Linked DNA regions of Caenorhabditis elegans. The protein of the gene in region 4 binds, or shares a complex with, the protein of the main gene of each other region. Each region holds a gene or a part of one and is shown on either strand. Other genes may lie near its edges.

Region 1 (4,162 bases), on a different chromosome or scaffold from region 4:
GTGTCGATTTACGGGCCTCCATCCTTCGTAGGCACAGAGTTACAGTAACTCGTTATTCGCGTGGCGAGACCCATCCGCAAAAATTATCATATTTAGACGCCTATGTAATATAAAAATATAAAATAATTCTAGCTGGGATCTTTGACACTACTCATCTACCTTGGAACCATCAAGTTCCGACCACCAGGTTCGATTTTTGTACTAAAATTTCTCGTAAAACCTCTTTTTTCAGGAATGTCAGTAATTTGGTTCACAATTGGATGCTCCATCGTCTTCGATATTTGCACAATTGCAGTACTTCTCAAGGAGTACGATATCTCAATAATGGCGATTCGAATGCTACCGTATGCAGCAATTGTAAGTTCGGGCATCGATGGGGCACACGTGAAACTACACGGAAATTTGAATTTCTAGGAATGTATTGGATCGATTCTTGCAATTATTTGCTATGTTATCTCCATGGCAATATCGATTAGTAGTGAAGAAGTGACTGATGATTTCGGATTTTTGGTGGTCGCAATTTTTTGTTTTATTATTGCACTCATCCACGTGTTCAATCTGGTTGTAAATGTTCGAAGATGGAATAATGGATCACATCATTTGAGTGAGATTTTTTTTCTTATTTTGAAAATTCACCATTTTTATTTCAGATCCGGCTGGAGTCTACGAATATTCAAATTATGGATCTGAAGCTTAACCTATTCTTAAATACCTAAATACCTTCTCTTGTCACATTTCTACAAAAACTTCGACTTTGAAATTTAAGATTTTAATATCTCACAAAACAATGGATTCAAAATTAAATAAAAAATTAAAATCAACAACGACAACAACAAAACATTGATAATCTATTGCTCATCAACCGAAAGCTTCCTCTTCATCACAGTTTTGTAGAAATCAAAAATAGCACTGGCAGATGGTTGTGCCAATGACCACGCGGCTTCCAGCTGAATAAAATCCCAATGTCCTATAGCGTCCATCGCACACACTTCTGGATGTCCATCGGATCCTTTGCACACTGAAAAGAGCACTCTTCCAGTCGATGCAGCTTCTTGTTTTGCTGTCGGATCAATAATCAGCTCATCTTTGACACGAACAATAAGGACACCACAGAAGACTGTTCTGAAAAATTATATTACAGTTTTAAAACAGTATCTAAAAAAACTTACTCGAATGGCATTCCATTGTCAAGTAGAGCAAAACAAGCTCCATTTATCGCTACAGCTCCCATACTTCCATCATCCTGAATTCCATGTACTGTGACAGAAATTGTTGTGTGGGGAAACAATTCGAGATTGATTGCATTGGATAGAGTAGAATGAATGATATTGTTCAGCTGAAAAAAGAATTATTCCAAAAGTAATTTCTACAAAAACCCCTACCACATTGAACTTGTTATCTCCACAATTTGCTCTATAACTAATATCCAGAGTCATAGCCTCATCACTTGCTTTCGAAGCGTGAACATCTCCAGGACCACTGCATGAAGCCCAAATACACGTGGCACCCTGGGAGAAGCATGCCGAGCCATCCGCGTTTTTGAGGAACGAGAGCTCACAACGCATTTCACGAAGTCTGCCGGCCATTTGGGGATATCTGAAATCAAAATTAATCACAAAAATGAATTTTGTAGAAAATATAACTGAAATTGGTGGAAAACCAAATTGAATTAAAAATAAATAAATAAAAAGATTTCAAAAACAGTTTTCTTTAATTTCAAAGCAAAAGAAAAAGCACAACAACAAAAAGTAAAATAACAATGGTAATGGGATGGGATGTAACAATTTAATCATTTTTTGTAGTTGATGGTTCCTTGTCGATTCGATGATTTTTTCATAGCCATATTCTTCTTTGTCTTGTTCTTCAATCGATATTTTTGATGGAATGGATCGAAATCGGCGTTGTTGTCTCGAACAGGTTTTTCTGGAAATAATTTATTAGGAATTTGATTTCGAGACTTTTTTGAGAGCTATATAATTGGGTACGGTATTATCCAAATTTTGAGCCAGAAAACGTTTTTTTTTTGCAAATTTGCGGTTCTTTTTGGAATTTAACGAAAAATTGATTTTTTGGTGTTTTTTTTTGGTATTTTGAATTTTTTTTTTTGGGTTTTTTAATAGCTTTTATTGGCACTTCGACGAATAACATTGATTTTTTTTTGGGTTTTTTTGTTGGAATTCAACAAAAATTGAAATATTTCTTGTATTTTGACGAAAAATTGATTTTTTTGTTTTTTTTTTCAGACCAACAAAAATATTTTTTGAAAAACCAATACATTTTCACATATTCACGATTTTTTTGAAAAATAAATTCAAGCATCAACTTTTTTTGGTTTTTGTTCGTTTTTCGCAAATTCGTAAATTTCAATTTTGGTTTTTTGTTCAAAAATATTTTTTGTCCCAGCCCTGGTGTGCTCCTTTAAAGAGTACTGTAATTTCAAACTTTTGTTGCTGCGGAATTTTTTTTAGTTTTAAATTTATTTATTAAAAAACTAAAATAAAACCGAAGAAAATTTCCCAGTAACGAAAATTTGAAACTACAGTACTCTTCAAAGGCGCACACCATTTTGCAAGTTGTCGCGACCTGGTACCGTATTTTTAGCCTTAAATCTCGCGTCTGGATAATTCAAAGGAATATAACTTACCAAATGCACTACTATCAGCTTTTTCATAATCAAAATCTTCAACGGGAGCATCATCATCAGATTTTTTCTTTTTTGGATCTGAACTACTCGACGACTCGCCGAGCACAACAGAAACATCTATATTTCGTCGAGCAGCATCTCTCTTTCTTTTCATTGCCTTCTTTGACAGTAGCTGGTCGTCGGTAAAACGAGATGGATCGAAGATTTGAGGTTCCGATGAAGATTCTTCCATTGGTGAAGGTTCTGGATCTTTCGGCTTGTTCGGATCATCTGGGACCAGCTTCAGTGTATCAACGTTTAGAAGCTGAAAATTATCTTATTAAAACCAAGGATGTCATCGGAATTTTTAAATATATTTTTTTTCATTTATTTTTTTTTTGAGAAAATCGAAAAAAAAGAAGTTTTATTTTCTGATTTTTTCAGAGAAAATCGAAAAAAAATTCATTTTTATTTATTTTTTCAGAGAAAATTAAAAAAAGATTTTAGTGATTTTTTCAGATAATTTTTTTTTAAAGTTTTTTTACTAAATTTTTTTCAGAGAAAATCGAAAAAAAAAAATTTTCTATCAAATCTGTACGTTTTTCCGCCGAAAATTTTTTTTTAAGAATAAAGCAATCTCTGAATTCCGTATGAGCAATACCGATTTTGGAATTTTCTTTTCAGACATTTTTTTTCGGTTTTTCCCAAAAAAAAAAACGATTTTTTTCAGATTTCATTATATCTACCAACCTTCGCATCGAATTCAGGTTTTCTATTAATCGGAGCATCATGATGTGAGAACATAGTCTTCGGTAGATCACCTTCCTCCAATTTCTTTCTCTCAGCCTCTTTTCTCTCTTCTTCTTCTTGCTTTTCTTTTGTAATCATCATCATTTGATAACATTCAAATGGAGTTACAAATTTGTCAAGTTCATTCAACAACTTTTTAACTTTCTGATTATCCGATTTCTTTCCTTTTTCCACAACAATCATAGTTTCCACACTTGGAATTTCAGCCGTTTGGAGCACTGATAACAATGATTCTTTATGATCTTTCAGCTCGATATCCATTCCTTCATCTGTCTTATCAATATAAATTTCTCCGCGTTCTTCGTCAAATCTAGTGTGTGAAAAGTCGATTTTTGATTTTAAAACTGAAGTGATATGATCCATAGTATCGTTCATTACACCTCGTGCTTCCTGTGCATCATTTCTTTCTTTCGCCGACAATCCCACTTTCTCAAGCTTCACATCTCTGGCCTCCACAATTATTCTGTAATTTTATAATTAGAATATTTATTATGAGGTCTTTTGAGTCCCGGAGCTTATATTTACGAAATTTTCATTTTTCGGAAAATGCTGGGACTCCCACAATTCTCAAAACTTACTTCAAAATATCACCAGTTCGCTGTTTCACAAAGTACGGTAACGGGTTACAACACGCGTAGATACCTCCAACATCTCGTGGTAATGTCTCAGAAAGTGATAGCATCATATGATTTGGAAGTACAAAATGTGGGCTCTCATCTTCTGCTCTAG
Region 2 (4,901 bases), on a different chromosome or scaffold from region 4:
TGTTGAAAAATTTAAATAAGGCCACTAGGCCTCACCTCTACCTTTAGGTTGAGCACCGAAATCTGAGAAAAATATTTTTGAATCACTCCAAATTTTCTCCTTTCACTTGCGTCCAAATGAGATTTTTCAAACGCCGAATTTTCGCGCCAGAGACGAGCCATGTGTCGATTTACGAGAATTTTAATCTTTATCAGATGCTGATTTCTGTTTTCAACGAGTTTCCTTAATTTTCGTCGATTTTTGCCGAATTTTTTTTAAATGAAAATGTGTTTTTAAGTCAATTAAACATTATATTATCAAAAAACTAACAAAATTTCCAATTTTTCATTTTCAACAAAACTAAAAATTATTTTCAGATGGAGCGAATCTTTTTCTACATTTTTTAAAATCAATTTTAGATCAAAAAAGTAGAATTATCATATTCAAATAAGTAGTTTTGTTGGATAAATCATACTTTTTTCAAGGAACAAATTCTGAATATCCGTCGAGACTTTTCCCTTTGAATTCAGCTGCAAAACAAATCGCAATGCATCCACTGTCTCCTTCGGTCCAAAATTTTCATAGAATTTCGGCAGAACTTTCTTCGCAATATCATCAATTTTCGAAAACGCCTTATTTTGTTCCGTTGATTTCACAGTGATAGCCATTTGTGCAGCTGTGATGAATTGATCAATCGATTTTATGGGATTTTGTTCGAGCCACTTAAATAATTGAACAATTTAAATGGAGCTTAAGCTTATTGAGTACCTTGAAAAATTCCGTCGAAGTTTCTAATACAGTTCTGTTTTTCACGAGCTTCTGTGTTGGAGCAGCGGCGATGGAATGGAGGAAATCTGGAATTCAAATATTTTTTGATGTTTTTTGCATTATTCTACTTTTTTTTACTAAAAATAACCCGAAAAGCTTATTGCGAAACTTCAAAAATGTCGAAAAACACTTGATTTTAGCTAAAATCTCACATTTCGCAAAATTTTTCAAATATTTTGCCAAATTTCCCTTTTATTAAATTTTTGTCTTATTTTGGTCATTTATCACATGTTTTTTCGTAAAAATTGGTACATTTAAAGCCAAATTTGCTTAAAATTACCCTAAATTTACGAAATAACGTAAAATAAACCAAAGTAGCACAATAATCGAATTAAAATTATTTTCCGGCCGCTCTAAAGTTGGTCAAGTTGGAGATTCTAGCGGAAATTAGCTATTTTTTGAAATTTTTTTGACAATTTTAATAAAATTCTGGCCATTTAGAGCAAAAAAAATCTGCACCTACCATCAATTTCTGCAGGACCAGCTCCACTTTGAGCTGCGACGGAAAACTGACGACACGGAATCGTCCTGCAAAGCGTGGGTAATCCACGGCTCCACATTCTAGATATTTGCAATTTTTTTAAAAAAATATCAAGATTTGAACAAGAAAAGTACGAAAATGAGACGGAAACATATAAAATTTTACAAAATTTCTAAGATTAAATTTGAAAAAACTGATTTATCGACTGCAAAAAATGGGTTTAAAAAAAAAGGAATAACAACTCAAAACAACAATGAATAAGAAAAAAAGAACAGCTAATTGCCTAGAATCGGAGCACAAGCTTTCAGATGTTGCTGAGCAACTACTGCGAGACATTCGTACACGTCAGCACACGTGGCTTTCGCTGCATCCATGACTGTGGAAAGATGATCAATGTGAAGACGATTTTGAAGTTCCACGAGAATCACTTCGTCACGACCGCAGATTGTGGCGAGCTGAAAATTTTAAGCAATTATTTTTTAACGAAAAATCGAAAGTTTGTGTTTTTTCCCGATTTTTCGGAAAATAACTTAAAATTTTGGACATTTTTTTTTTTAGAATAGCAACCAAAATATGATTTCGGTTCCCGGAATATTGAAATTACGGCAATTTTTGAGAAGTCTCATTACAAAATTCATTAAATTAGACAATTTTTCAGCCTAAACATACAGTAACTCTGGGAAGGAGATCAGTTTCTTCTCTAGAAGTAAGATCAACAATTGGTTTTCCATCGACAACACCACACGTCGCTGCAGATGCGATGCCTTTCATTGGGATTCCTGCATCAGCAAGAGCCAAAGAAGTTGCATTGACACAGGCGGCCAGGTTGGAGCCGTCTCCTTGGATTACTTCACAGAAAATATCAAGTTGTGATCGAGGAAATGCTTCCGTCAGAATAACTGATTCGAATGCTTTCTCAAGAAGTCTGCTGATTTCAGTTGATTTTCGATCTCCACGTGTACGATTTTTTCTTTCAAGTCCCGAAAACTTTGTTGCACTATACTGACAAACAATGGCACATTTATCTTCGATTCTTTTTGACGATTTGCCTTCATACGGACCATAAACTGCACAAAGAACCTGAAAAGAGAATAATGTAACTTGAAATTAAATTCAAAACTTAAAAAAAAACCAACCTTGGTATTACCATGTTCCAGATAACAGCTTCCCTCCGCATTTCTGTTCAAGCCAAGACGAGTGTTAATGTTACGAATCTGAGCGGGACGGCGGCCGTCAATACGGAAACCATGTTCAGAGATGATGTTCATTGTCTGCAAAAGATTATTCGTGATTTTTTAAAAGAAATTATGGAAAATCTCACTTATTTTCTTCAATAACTGGAGTAGTTTCAACAGGAGTGGCTTCTGGAGCTGGGACCGCTGGCTCTGGCTTAGCGGATTTGATTGCTTCGGTTGGCGATTGCTCTCCTTGCTTGAAAAGTGCTTTTGGTGCTTGTTCTGCGAATACTAGCATAAACCGACGGTTCACTAGCATCTGCTTGTCAATACCTGAAATTTTGATTACAAAATCGTGTTTATACAATACAATAAATCTTACATTGACTGACACAGGACCCTTCGTCCTTTGTGAGTGTTGATGTGGTGTAGTCACGAGCGCAGGCGTTGAAACAACGTTCGCTGAGAGTGTTGTAGACGGTTAGAAATTCACGAAGCTGAAATTAAAGACATAAATGCGCGGGAGAGGATTTTCCTTTTTTCTGAGCACCTGTTGAATATTTTGAATAGTATTCATAAAGCATAAAACAGTCAACGCCCCGAAATGAGAATAATCTGAAATTTGAAGTTAAGAAAATGAGTAAAAAATTAAATAAAGAGAAAAAATTTGCATGCAAAATGCAACAAAAAAAACAAAAAGTTTCTGTGTATTTTACCGTCACGGTGTTTGCGGAAGTTTAAAGGCGCAGCGCTTTTCATGATTTCAATATCTTTCCACGAAGCATAGAGAGTGTACTTGTCGCGGAGACGCAGACGAACTTCTCCGAGGGACTTGAGTTTAATTTCATTTAAATTAAATTTTAAAAAAAAATTGATTTTCTTCGAGAAAATGCCACCAACTGCGCAACCACTGGAGTTTGATGATACAGCAAATGCTGTGCTTCCGGTTTTGTATTCTTCGACAGACGAAGAAGTCGGAATTTGGTATTTGTTGTATTATTACGAAATATACTATTTGAAAATCATATTTCAGGCGAGAGCTCCTTGCTTCCAAAAAGACAAACACGAATCAAGGCAGCACGGTGATTGTTCTGGGGGACAACCGAAGCGGAAAGTCGTCTCTTCTTTCCCGTCTGGACAAATCTGATAGAACCGTGAAGCCAAAATCACTACTTGGATATCGTGTGCTCCACGTGCAAAATGATGCTCGTGACGCCAGTTATGCATATCAACTGGGAACAGCCGGAGCCAATCTCAATCCATCAGAGTTGCTTCAAATCCCTGTCTGGTCTTTGGATGGGAATGCGGCGTGTGCTTCCCTTCTGAAACATGCTCTTCCAGCAACTCCCGCGGAAGCTATCTTCATTCTTACCGCGAGCATTGATAATCCGAGTAAGTATTATATATTCAAATAAATAAGTATTTAATTATTCAGATCTCATTCATTCCTTGAAAAGATGGGCAAATGTGTGCACCGAGCAAGCTCAGAAACATTTCACCAAAGAAGACTTGAAAGCCGGTAGATCTCAACGTAAGCTTATAAACTCTTTACTTCATGCAATTTAAAATAATTTTTTCCAGAAGAAAAAATGTGGCAAGAGTATGTGGATCCGGTTCAATCACAAATGAGCACTTCCGTAGTTGGAAGTTTCGCCGATGAGCACAACCTTCTTCCTCTCGACCAAGGAACTCTTACTGAGAACTGTGGAGTCACGTTCATGGTGGTCATTACCAAATCTGACCTGGGTATATTATTTAAAGAAAAATAAAATAAATGATGTTTGCAAAAGTTTTAGGAAAGGAATTCACAGATGCTCAATTCGCGAAGATCAGCATTCAACTGAGAAAATTCTGCCTCAGTCTCGGAGCGACTCTTGTCTTCACCAGCGCAAAAGAGACTAAAAATATTCAGCTCCTCCAAAAGTACATTGTACATCGATCTTTTGGCACGGCTTTTACCAGTGCAGCTCAAGTGATTGAAAGAGAGTCGATCTTTGTTCCAGCTGGATGGGACGGAGAGAAAAAGATCGATATTATTCGTGTAAGTTTTACATAAGTAATTGGAGAATCCGAGTTCATGATTAATTTCAGGAGTCTATTCCGGATGTGGATTCAGCTTTAGAGCCGACTCGCGATAAGCTTAGACCTGTCGCAAAAGAGCAGCTCATCGAAGCCGAGGAAGATCAGGCTTTCTTGAAGAAGTTGATGGACATCCTGGCAACTTCAACCACTACGGCCGCTCCCAAGCCGAGGACTATGCAAGAAGAGCCTACCGATAAGGACAGTCCACTCGCCAATTTCTTCTCCAACTTGCTCAATAAGGTAAATCAATCTTAGATCTTTTTTCTATGTGAATTTCCATATTTCAGGACAAGCCGAGCAAGGTGAGCTCTCCTTCCACTGTTTCCCAGCCGATGGATGCCGCAGCCACCCAGGCC
Region 3 (5,866 bases), on a different chromosome or scaffold from region 4:
TTTTCGTTAACCGCATGGAAGACAAATTCTTGCTCGTTCTTTCCAAGAAGATGTTGACAACAGAAGGCATCAACAAAGTCTGTTGGGAATAAATTCCTGGCCTTCTCAGACTCCTCATAGCTTTTGACGTCGAAGTTGTAGTATCCAAGATATCCTTGTTTCCTTGACGGAATAAAGTTGTGCACCATTTTATGGATTTTTAGTCTGAAATGTTATTTTTGGAAGTCTTAGAGATGATCTGAATGTCGGTTTTGCTCACTTACCCTTTCATTTGTGCTTTTTGTTGAACTACACGTGTTTCCACCGGGTTTGGGGTAACGAGCTTAAACCAGGAATATTTATTTGGTGTCCAATCAGAGGTCTCATCGGCTCCTTGCATAGCCAGTCTCGACGAAGTCTGGAAAATTTGTTAGTGCTATTCAAATAAAAAATTCAAGTTCAACTCACTATTACCAAAGAAGCGTCTGAATTTATTGATAGCCTATCAAATTGAGTAGTCATGTTGTTCTATAAAATATCAAAATTTTTATTAAAAAATTTTTATTAAGCTTCTAGACTTGAACTGGTTCTAACTGAATGTTATAATTGAATAAACTCACATTTATATCACAGAAACGATCTGATTTTGACTTATCGTCGTGATTATCCATTTTTGAAACAAGACGAGAGAATGAAGTAATGAATAATATCATCGGGAATTTTCCCGAATAAACTTTAAATTTCCCCGTGAAATCTCATTACCCTTTTCCACGTTTTGTAGTCTATAGATCTGGGACAGTGATAAGAAGGTTGCTATAAATTGAGAATATTTTGCCATAATCTTCATAGAGTTTTCATAACTCCTTCATCGAACGACCATGGCCCAATCCGTCCCACCAGGAGACATCCAAACCCAACCAAACGCGAAGATCGTCTTTAATGCTCCATACGATGACAAGCACACCTATCACATCAAGGTGATCAACTCATCGGCTCGTCGTATTGGATATGGTATCAAGACCACCAATATGAAGAGACTTGGAGTTGATCCACCATGTGGAGTTCTCGATCCAAAGGAAGCTGTGCTTCTTGCTGTTTCCTGCGATGCTTTCGCCTTCGGACAAGAGGATACCAACAACGACCGTATCACTGTTGAGTGGACCAACACCCCGGATGGAGCTGCCAAGCAATTCCGTCGTGAATGGTTCCAGGGAGACGGTATGGTTCGTCGCAAGAACCTTCCAATCGAGTACAATCCATAGGATGTGTGAACTGGGTTTCTTAACAATAAACTTTTTTCAAGTATATGTTCTGTTTTTCTGTTTTAATCTGCAAATTGAATATATATTAATACTCAAGCGAACAAGTTTTGTGTTCCATCGATGCCCTTAACATAAGCATCCGGGATTTATTGTAAATCGTTTGGAACTATAGTAATCCTACCTTAATCTTCCAGTAGTCATTCAGTTCAGAAGACTACCCAACCATACTACTAACCCAGCCCATCTCTCCAAAACCTGAAAGCTGTTTTGCTCCGTAAAGGTCGAGGAGGGTGTATTTTTCTTACAAATCAAAGAAATTAACAAGTGAACCGATCACAACTTTTTTTGCTGATATGAGAGAAAAATACTTTATTGATTGGTTCGAGTAAATTTTCGAATTTTCGAAAAAGGAAAGATCCCTGGTATATAATGTCTCAGCTCTGCTATGTATTTTTCTATTTGAAATTCCGAATTCAAATTTTCTCTAGATGAAAGCCTTGGTATTGAATTCTATGCTGGGTTTAGTAAATTTTCGAATTTTCGATAAAAATTATATAATGAAGAAAAATATCCAAATTGGAGGTATTTTAATTTTAGAATACGGGAACGAAGAAGATCAAGATCACATACAAAGTTTAATGGATCTGAAGACATTTCAATTTATCTGGGTAGAACCAATTCTTCAACTCCAAATTCTACAGTAACCGATTCTTAAACATCTTATGGAAGTCCATCGAGATATGTATTTCATTATCATGTTCTTACCCGTTTTTTTTCAATAATGAGATTCTATATTTCGCTTAATGTTTTTATTGTTCTTATTGCTTCCAAAAATTAACATTAAAACAATAAATATTTTGCATCTTGACAAATTTAACATTTTAAAGTCTGGTCAGATTTCATCCTTGAGGACAGTGCTGTGTCTACATACATGAAAAAAAATCAAAAAGTGGCGATTATTTAGTTTCATCCGCATTAAATTTTGTAAGACAAAAAAGTTTGGCAATTTACCAAATCTATGACTGAAAAATTTTCAAAAATCTAAAAACGTTTTGAGCATTATTTTTTAAGGTTATGAGGCCCTAGATAATCATGTTTCCTACCCGATTATCTATTTTAGATGTTTAAACTTCCGTTTTCATGATTTTAGCCATACTCTATTTAGATATATTCTTCCTTTTCATTTCATTTTTCCTCGCAGCTGCGATGGCAGTGTTGTTCGAAGTGTTCGTTTTCGTAGTGCCTACGACACTCCGATGTTCCACTCGCGCGTGTTGTTCACCGTAAATGTACACTGAGTTTTTCTTCGAATAAAATAGTTTTTCCTTCATTTTTCACCTGATTCGTGCGATTTTATTTGTTTTTCACACGTATTTTCATTATTTGAAGGTATGGATTTGAACGTCAAACAAAGTGGAATTCATTCCGTCGCTTTGCACACGACTTACTTCCAAAATCGCTCGGGGAAAGTCTATAAAGTGAGAAAACCTCTCCGAAATCACCTAACCCAATTAAAATTTTGCAGAGAGCCGAAGAAAGATATCTACGAAATGATCTTTCATGTGGACTTGCTCAATGTGGAACCTGCAAGGATTTCGGCACAAATCCGCTGTTAAAAATTGAAAATCCCGTAAGAAATGCGAAAGTTGGAAGGCACGCGCTGATTGTGGATTCCACATCATTAATCAGATTCTACGATTTGTTTGATTCGTCTTTATTGAGGTAATGAATTAAAATTACAGCGGAATCATTTAAATGTAGATGGTTCTACTGTCCAATTATTAAATTCTTAATTTGTTGCTCCAAATTCAGTTTTTAGAAGTTGTCGGGATTGTAACAAACATCTAGTTTCAATTAAAAACTCTGTAAAATAATAAATTATATTTAATTTTCAGAGATCTCATCGTAACCCAGACTGTATGGGAAGGAGTCAAAGCAAAAGCTGTACCAGCCTACAAGAAAATGAATTCTTTGTGTTATGAAGATGCGAAAGACAGATTTCACGTGTTCATGAACGAATTTCACTGCGAGACCTTCTCCGAATCATCGAAATTTGAGGATTTGAGTCGTGGCGAAGAGCTTCTACTTTCAACAGCTCTTTACTTGAAAACTCATTGGCAGAAGCATAACGTGGCTCCTGTTGTCTTAGTTTTTGATGAAGATTCGAAAAAAAGAATGGAAAATCACTACCAACACGTGATGTATTTAAAGGTTAATAGTCGAAAAGTTCAAAACTCTGTGGATCTTTTCTGAAACTGGCGAAATTTCGAAAAAGAGCCAAATTTTGTTAAAAGAAAATTTTTGATTTCTTAAGACTCATAATGAAATTCTGTCGTTCCGAGCTAGTTTCAGACTATTTCAGCCAAAAACCCTAAAATATACACCTCTTTAACATATTTTCGCCGTAACTAAACTTTTATTCAACTAAAAATCATGATCCTTAATCAAAAATTGTATAATAAAGTACAATAAAGTTTGAAAAATGATCCAGTAACCCCGTAGAAAAAGAAAAAATCTCCAAATTTTCAGGAATACATACAAAATTTGGAGGATCCAGGAAAACAAGCACTTTTGGATCAAATGGCTGCGTATGAAAGCTCTGGAAATGGAAATGAGAAACAAATTTTCGATGAATATCTATCGCATGATAGAATTATGGAGGGAATTGCCAGTGGAACGATCAAAAGAGGAAATTTCAGTGTTTCAAGAGAAAATTATCGCGAAGCTACTGTTATTATTGATGATCAGTTAACATCTTGGTTCATCACAGGTGCTTGAATTTAGTTGAAATATTTATTTTCGAAAACCAACCAAATTTTTCACACAAGTCATTACTTTTTGCTGAGAATTTTAAAAAAACTTTTTTATAACGAAATTAGGTGGTTTTCGGTCATTTTGAGCGAAACAACTCTGAAATTATATTTTTAAAAAAGGTGAAATTTTTCCAAAAATTCCAATTCTCTGAATAATAAAATTTTTATTTCGAATTTTAGGAAATAATTGCAATCGTGCCGTCAATGGAGATACCGTCGCAGTTCAACTTTTGCCAGAAGACCAATGGACTGCTCCAGAGAAGAAAATTCGACTCCGTGACGTTGAAGAATATGTTAAAACTGCAGATGACATGGGAAATGAAGACGAGGAGAATGATGACGAGAACGATGAGCCAAAAGCTAAAAAGTCGAAGAAAATGACTGTTTCAACTGCAAAAGTTGTTGGAATTATCAAAAGAAATTGGCGTGAATATTGTGGAATGTTGCTGCCAAGTACAGTGAAAGGAGCCAGAAGACACTTGTTCTGTCCAGCTGAACGACTTATTCCAAGAATTCGAATCGAGACGGAACAGGCTGAAACTTTATCACAGCAGAGAATTGTGGTGGCTATTGATCACTGGCCAAGAGATTCCAAGTATCCACTTGGACATTACGTCAGGTATGTGAAATTTCAGAAAATCTTGAAATATTTTAACGGAATGACTGTTGTTTTCAGATCAATCGGAGAGATGGGATCCCGTGAAACTGAAAATGAGGTTCTCCTTCTCGAACATGATATTCCACATGCTCCATTCTCAGAATCTGTTCTTGATTGTCTACCACGTGAAGAATGGGAACCAGATCTCACTGAAAACCGCGGCCCTCTACCACGTGTTGATTTGAGAGATTTAACAATTTGTTCAGTTGATCCACTTGGATGTACAGATATTGACGACGCATTACACTGTAAACAAATTGGAGAGGATCTTTTCGAAGTTGGAGTTCATATTGCAGATGTCACGCATTTTGTTAGACCAGGTAAATATACTGAAATTATTTAAAAATTCAAGTTTTACTAAAAAAAATGTTTGTCCTTTGAGGTTCGAATAAAACCTCATTTATTTTCAAAAAAAGAACCAAAATTTCCTACGTTTAGGAACCGCAATCGACGATGAAGCAGCATTACGTGGAACTACAGTATACCTTTGTGATCGTCGTATCGATATGCTTCCATGTCTGCTCAGTTCCAATTTGTGCTCACTTCGCGGAGAAGAAGAGCGTTATGCATTTTCGTGTATTTGGACAATGACTTCTAGTGCTGATATACAATCAGTTAAATATCACAAATCTCTAATTAAATCAAAAGCTGCATTGACTTATGAGAAGGCACAAGAGATTATTGACGATCCAAAAGAGCAGAATGACGTGGCATTGGGATTACGTGGATTGATGAAATTGTCGAAAGTTTTGAATGCGAGAAGAACTGGAAATGGAGCATTGACGTTGGCATCGAGTGAAGTTCGCTTTGATATGGATTGGGAGTCCAGAACACCAAAGGTTTAAAATTTAAAAAATATTACAAAAAAAAAAGTTATATTCAAATTCAAAGAAGAAATATATTTTATACAACAGAGCGACCTAGAAACTGATTTTCATTTAGATTATTACAGTAATCTCTCATTAGAGCGCGCTTGCGAAATTTCCAGTTCTTTTTTGCTAACTTTTAAACCATTTTAAACCAATAAAAATGATTTAGATCAGGCAATATCCCTCAAAATGATTTTTATTTGAAAACATTTCTTGGGAGTTTTGTGAAATTTGTTTTAAAAATACTCAGACAACCCTATTTCTCATCTAATTAGAAAAATAGGA
Region 4 (5,007 bases):
CAAATTTTCGTTAAATGCAAAAAGGTGTGCGCCTTTAAGGAGTACTGTAGCTTCAAACTTTAGTTGTCGCATAATTTTGAGAGATTTTTCACAGTTTTTTGATGAAAACGTATGTTTTTTTTAGCAAAAAGCTAAACAAATCGTGAGAAAAAATTTGGAAAATCGATTTAAATTCGGCAGAAACGAAATTTTGAAACTACAGTACTCTTTAAAGGCGCACACCTTTTTGCATTTAACAAAAATTTGTTGTGTCCAGACCGAAAACTTTATATTTTCACAAAAATCGCCGAATTTCTTGGTTTATAAGCAATTCAAAAGAAAAAAGTCAACATTTCGCTGCGAGACCGGTAAATTCTCAATAGGGCGCGGTTACTGGGCTAATTTGAATTTTCGCACAATTTCAGTTACTCTTTTTTGAAAATTGAAATTATAAAAAAAATTTCCGCCGGAAAAATGGAAAAACTAAAAATTCTAGAACCTGAAAAGTTGAAAAAAAAAAACCGAGAAACATTTTTTTTTTTTTGAAAAATTGTTCAACAAAAAAGGAAGGAATGAGTGGGGGAACAATTATGACTTTTTTTTCCTCGAAACAATGGCCCCCAAAAACACAAAAAAAAGTACAAAAATATAACGATTCAAAGATCTTTTCAGAGAGGATAATTATTCAGGCCACCGATTGCGTGGGCAATGTGCACTTTTGCGGAACTTTGGCCATTTTCCTGGGTTCCGTTTTGCCGGTTCGTGTCGAGACCACCGTATTCCAGTCGACTTTTTGCATTGGTTCACCAAATCGTCCACGGCACAGCACAACGCCTAGCTCGTCTTCGGCGATCGATAAAACGAATTTGTCCTTGATTTCGGCGTCTTCACAAACTTTTGCCAGAATGTAGTCGTTGGGTCGCACAAAGTTTTTGAATGGCTCACTCTGCAAAAAATGCTCTTTATTTCAATTTTTTGCCTCTAAAGCAGTATCGCACAGAAAAAGAGGCGGAGCGTAATTTCGCAACCCTCCGGCACGGTTTTTCCACCTTTTTGCCAGTTTTCTACTGCATTTTTTATTGATTTTTTAAAATTTCACTTCTTAGTTAGTAAAATCTAAACTTCATTGAAAAAAATCAACAAAAATCAGTGTAAAACATGCGAAAAAGGAAGGAAACCCCGTGCCGCAGGGTTGCGAATTTAAGCTCCGCCTCTTTTTCTGTGCGATACACTACTTGGGTTCTCAGTTTGGGTCTCGCCACGATTTCGGCCCATATCTAATGTTTAAAAAAAAATTTTGCTCGAAAATCGCTTTAAAATAAGAAAAAAGAGGGAAATTTGTTTTTTGAGTAAAAAACCGAGAATTTCAGTTGAAATTTAGTGAAAATCAGTCTAAAATCAATGTTTTTCCGATGTTTCCACAAGAAATCAGGAATTTTGACGACTTTTCTGCAAAAAACCTTAAAATCGGCCATTTTTATGCGAAATTTCATAAGAATTTTCGCAAAAAAACCTAATTTTCTGCTAAAAAAAAGGTTTTTCCCACATTTGTAAGCAGAAATTCTTAATTTTTTCGTGGCGAGACCCACAATCCAGGCAAAATCCAACCAATTCAGGTTCCAGCGGCCTCAGCTTCTTTTTCGGCAGCAGCGCCGAGAACCGCTTCTTGTAAACCTTATCGCCGATACTGATGATGTCACATTTGGCGAATCTGCAATATTTTCTGTCGGTTTTCAGAGCAACGAAAAGCTGCTCTACCGTAATCCGACAGCCATCACTTTGGCGGTGACGATGGCTCCGTGGAATGGGAGAAGCTCATTGTCGAGCTGATCTTCGCTGCGGCGAACTTCGATCACTTGCACCAGGTTGTCGGATTTCTGCAGAAAAAACGGAAATTTTCGGGCTCCACGCTTGCGATTTGTGCGAAAATTACATCTCTGAATCCATAAACGTTGACAAAACCGGCTACCGACGCGAAGATCCTTCGATTCGCCTCGTATAATCCCTTCCCCATTCGATATTCACCAATCGCGTCGAGAACCTTGTCGCCGGGCGCCACAAGCGTTTCGGCGAGCATTTTCTGAGCTGAAAGTGGTTTAGAACGGGATTTGCTGTGATTTAGATTGATTTCGAGTAACAAAATTGAGTTTTGGAAATTACCGAGAAAGGATTAAAGAATAAAAAGAAAAAGTCTGTAGATAACAACAATTTAATGAGTGAACAATTGTGGATAAAGATGGTGATACAGATCAAGAAATTTTAAAAAATCAACAACAAAAAAAAAACAGTGAAAACCAGAGAAAAAACAATTTAGGCGGCCTCGACGGTGAGATGACGGAGAGCCTCGGCGACCTCGTCGTACAGCTCCTTGAAGTCCCCACTCGGCTTGACGAAGATCAGAATCGACGGGCGACGATGTCCGACGGCGAGTCCGAGCTGCTCACGAGATGGAATGTAGACGTATGGGATCTCCTTCTCCTCGCAGATTCCCGGAATATGTGAGTACACATCGATTGGAGAGACGTTTCCTGAAAAATTGAACGTTTTAAGGGAAAAATAGATTAAAATCCTACCAGCAAGAATGCAGATTCCCTTCTCGTTTCTGCGGAGCTCCTTCTGCACGTCCTTGATGCCCTCACGGAGGGTTTTATCGCCGGCGGAGGCCTTCTTGATGAGCTTGTACACCTTCTTGGCCAACTTGCGGTTTGCTAGTGGCTGAGCGATTGGGTTTACCTGAAAATAAGACATTTTTCATTAAAAAACCAGCGAAATTAATGATTTACCAGCTCGCAAAGTGCCTGGTACTCGTCCTTCTCGGTGGTTGGTGCGGTGGCGTCTCCATTGGCTTCTGATACGGTCGACTCGTTCATTGTCTCGTCCAGATTGCGCTTGCCCATTTTTTGATTCTGAAAATTCATAAGTTAATCGTGTAAATTAGCCGCAAAGTTCAATTAGCTTTAGGAAAAGAAAAACAATGAAAATGGGATTTTTGCAACAAAAAATCGATAAAAATCCTATTATGGGTGATTACATAGGAATTTTACGATATTTCATGGCTTAAAATTGATAAATATTATATTTCCGAATTTTAAAATTTAATTTTATCGAAAAAAATCGGAGAAAACCCGCAGAAAACTTCGAAAAATACAATAATTATGTGAAAATGCGTCAAAAGAGAAAAAAGAGAAATCGAATCGAAATGTGCAGTGGAGCGCGTTCGCCCACATCCCAGAGAGTGGAGACGCAGACAATTCGTTGGCGGGAATTCAAATTAGAGATTTTCAGGGAAATTCGTTTTGTTGAATTTTCAACTGTTCCTGACTCCGATTTTTGCAAGTTTTGCAGCCTCTCCGCTTCCCCGAAACGCTCAAACTTCAATTTTTACGAGTTATCATCAAAATCGCAACTAAAATATAACAATTTTATGTCCCCGAACCCCCCACCCGCCCCCTACACGGTACTATAAAAGCCAACTTCTTCCAGAATTCAAGCATCAGAAGCATCTTCTTCTTCTTCATCATCATCATGAACGTCTACTCTGTCTGCGTCTTCGCCATCTTGGCTATTTCTTCAGTTTCTGGAATCTTCTTGCCACAAGGAGGAAAGAAGTGCGGAGGAAGCAGTGGATACGGAAGCGGAGTCATCATCGGTGCACCACGTCCACAATAATTTTTGTGCAGTTTCTGTTGATTACTGATAAATATTGAACATTCAAACTCTGTTTTTTGGGCTTATAATCTTGTTAATCGCGCCGCAGGCCTTTCAGTTTTTAGGGCTTAGGCTTAGGCTTAGACTGAGGCTTAGGCCTAGGCTAATTCCTAGGCTTAGGCTTAGATGGAAAATCTATGACCTAATAAAATGGGACTTTGAAGTAGAAAGTTTGAAAAAAAAAAATCCCAAATTGGAGTTAATCTACGGGACTCTAAAGAAGTGCGAGACAAAATTAAAAAATTTCAAATTTATTTTTCTAGTCCAAAATGCTCCTACATATTGAGCAGTTTTCTGTTAGGTAGTTGAGGCTAGGTAGGCAGGCACGGTTTCAGGGCCTCACGAGAGGCAGGCGGAGGCCGCCTTAAGGTCAGGCAGGCAGGCGTTTTGGAACCCCTAACATTAACAATTCGACTTGCGTTGTATGATTTGAGTGTATTTGCAAACTTATATTTTCCGTGCAAATGATCACAAGGTTTTTAAGCATCGAAGCATACATCTTTGATGCTCCCGCTCCCGGAACTAACTTTATCGATGTGGGTGGAATAAAAGCCTTCCGATCACAAACCTTTTCCTCACTTCGGTTCTTCAAATGAACATTTATTGCGTTTTAGTGTTTGCTGTACTCTCCATCTTGTCGGTTGTTGGAAAACCTCGAGCTAACCATATTCGACCTGCCTCAGACCGACATATCATCATGGGATTCGACCTACCATCCAAGTTTGGATAATTCAAACTGAAGCAATTAATTTATGAATAAAAGTTGAACATTGTCTTGAAAATCTTGTTATGAAATTTGGGATAATCTGGTAATTTAGAACCATATGATTTTCCAGCACTTTTGAATTTTTGAAAAATACAGCTTTTATATATTTCTATCAATTTTTTAAAATACTTGCGGACAAGCTAGTATACTTTTTTTGGTATTTTCTGGTATATTTGGCAATGCTAAACAGTTTTATAAAATAAAAAAGAAGCGCTTCATATGATTTTATAGTACTTTTGAATTTTTGAAAAATACAGCATTTACATTGACATACCAAAAAATAGATTGACATACCAAAAAATAGATTGACATACCAAAAAATAGATTGACATACCAAAAAATAGATTGGCATACCAAAAAATAGATTGGCATACCAAAAAATAGATTGGCATACCAAAAAATAGATTGACATACCAAAAAATAGATTGGCATACCAAAAAATAGATTGGCATACCAAAAAATAGATTGACATACCAAAAAATAGATTGACATACCAAAAAATAGATTGGCATACCAAAAAATAGATTGACATACCAAAAAATAGATTGGCATAC

What was found.
Region 1: exos-1 (region 4) and crn-5 share a complex: the UniProt entries of both Caenorhabditis elegans proteins name them as parts of the RNA exosome complex.
Region 2: exos-1 (region 4) and exos-4.1 share a complex: the UniProt entries of both Caenorhabditis elegans proteins name them as parts of the RNA exosome complex.
Region 3: exos-1 (region 4) and dis-3 share a complex: the UniProt entries of both Caenorhabditis elegans proteins name them as parts of the RNA exosome complex.

The regions. Positions count from the first base shown.
Region 1 is NC_003280.10:10,590,186-10,594,347, reverse strand, and holds crn-5 (Exosome complex component RRP46 homolog), read right to left. Parts: upstream 1,597-4,162; 5' UTR 1,587-1,596; coding exon 1,383-1,586; intron 1,337-1,382; coding exon 1,170-1,336; intron 1,123-1,169; coding exon 849-1,122; 3' UTR 757-848; downstream 1-756. Other genes in the region: C14A4.6 (MARVEL domain-containing protein), read left to right, coding at 133-187, 233-357, 415-604, 651-697; crn-3 (Exosome complex component 10 homolog), read right to left, coding at 1,790-1,923, 2,645-2,948, 3,374-3,896, 4,012-4,162. UniProt on the Caenorhabditis elegans protein: Non-catalytic component of the RNA exosome complex which has 3'->5' exoribonuclease activity and participates in a multitude of cellular RNA processing and degradation events. Involved in apoptotic DNA degradation.
Region 2 is NC_003282.8:13,097,182-13,102,082, reverse strand, and holds exos-4.1 (Putative exosome complex component RRP41), read right to left. Parts: upstream 3,079-4,901; 5' UTR 3,041-3,078; coding exon of another isoform or gene 3,014-3,040; intron 2,961-3,013; coding exon of another isoform or gene 2,846-2,960; intron 2,797-2,845; coding exon of another isoform or gene 2,610-2,796; intron 2,560-2,609; coding exon of another isoform or gene 2,557-2,559; coding exon 2,425-2,556; exon of another isoform or gene 2,369-2,424; coding exon 1,958-2,368; intron 1,744-1,957; coding exon 1,564-1,743; 3' UTR 1,477-1,563; downstream 1-1,476. Other genes in the region: fask-1 (RAP domain-containing protein), read right to left, coding at 455-701, 748-833, 1,271-1,367; tin-9.2 (Mitochondrial import inner membrane translocase subunit Tim10B), read right to left, coding at 2,553-2,559, 2,610-2,796, 2,846-2,960, 3,014-3,040; dli-1 (Dynein light intermediate chain), read left to right, coding at 3,353-3,447, 3,497-3,855, 3,899-3,994, 4,045-4,209, 4,254-4,504, 4,555-4,785, 4,833-4,901. UniProt on the Caenorhabditis elegans protein: Non-catalytic component of the RNA exosome complex which has 3'->5' exoribonuclease activity and participates in a multitude of cellular RNA processing and degradation events.
Region 3 is NC_003282.8:10,094,576-10,100,441, forward strand, and holds the start of dis-3 (putative exosome complex exonuclease RRP44), read left to right. Parts: upstream 1-2,626; 5' UTR 2,627-2,632; coding exon 2,633-2,719; intron 2,720-2,766; coding exon 2,767-2,963; intron 2,964-3,136; coding exon 3,137-3,452; intron 3,453-3,770; coding exon 3,771-4,011; intron 4,012-4,234; coding exon 4,235-4,673; intron 4,674-4,730; coding exon 4,731-5,032; intron 5,033-5,150; coding exon 5,151-5,551; intron 5,552-5,866. Other genes in the region: C04G2.5 (BTB domain-containing protein), read right to left, coding at 1-204, 264-397, 448-507, 600-650; msp-36 (Major sperm protein 10/36/56/76), read left to right, coding at 858-1,241. UniProt on the Caenorhabditis elegans protein: Putative catalytic component of the RNA exosome complex which has 3'->5' exoribonuclease activity and participates in a multitude of cellular RNA processing and degradation events. Has both 3'-5' exonuclease and endonuclease activities.
Region 4 is NC_003281.10:11,006,100-11,011,106, reverse strand, and holds exos-1 (Exosome complex component CSL4 homolog), read right to left. Parts: upstream 2,065-5,007; 5' UTR 2,057-2,064; coding exon 1,913-2,056; intron 1,857-1,912; coding exon 1,738-1,856; intron 1,691-1,737; coding exon 1,588-1,690; intron 926-1,587; coding exon 665-925; 3' UTR 501-664; downstream 1-500. Other genes in the region: Y48A6B.3 (Putative H/ACA ribonucleoprotein complex subunit 2-like protein), read right to left, coding at 2,290-2,507, 2,553-2,712, 2,763-2,876; fipr-17 (FIP (Fungus-Induced Protein) Related), read left to right, coding at 3,505-3,648. UniProt on the Caenorhabditis elegans protein: Non-catalytic component of the RNA exosome complex which has 3'->5' exoribonuclease activity and participates in a multitude of cellular RNA processing and degradation events. Involved in regulation of antisense ribosomal siRNA production.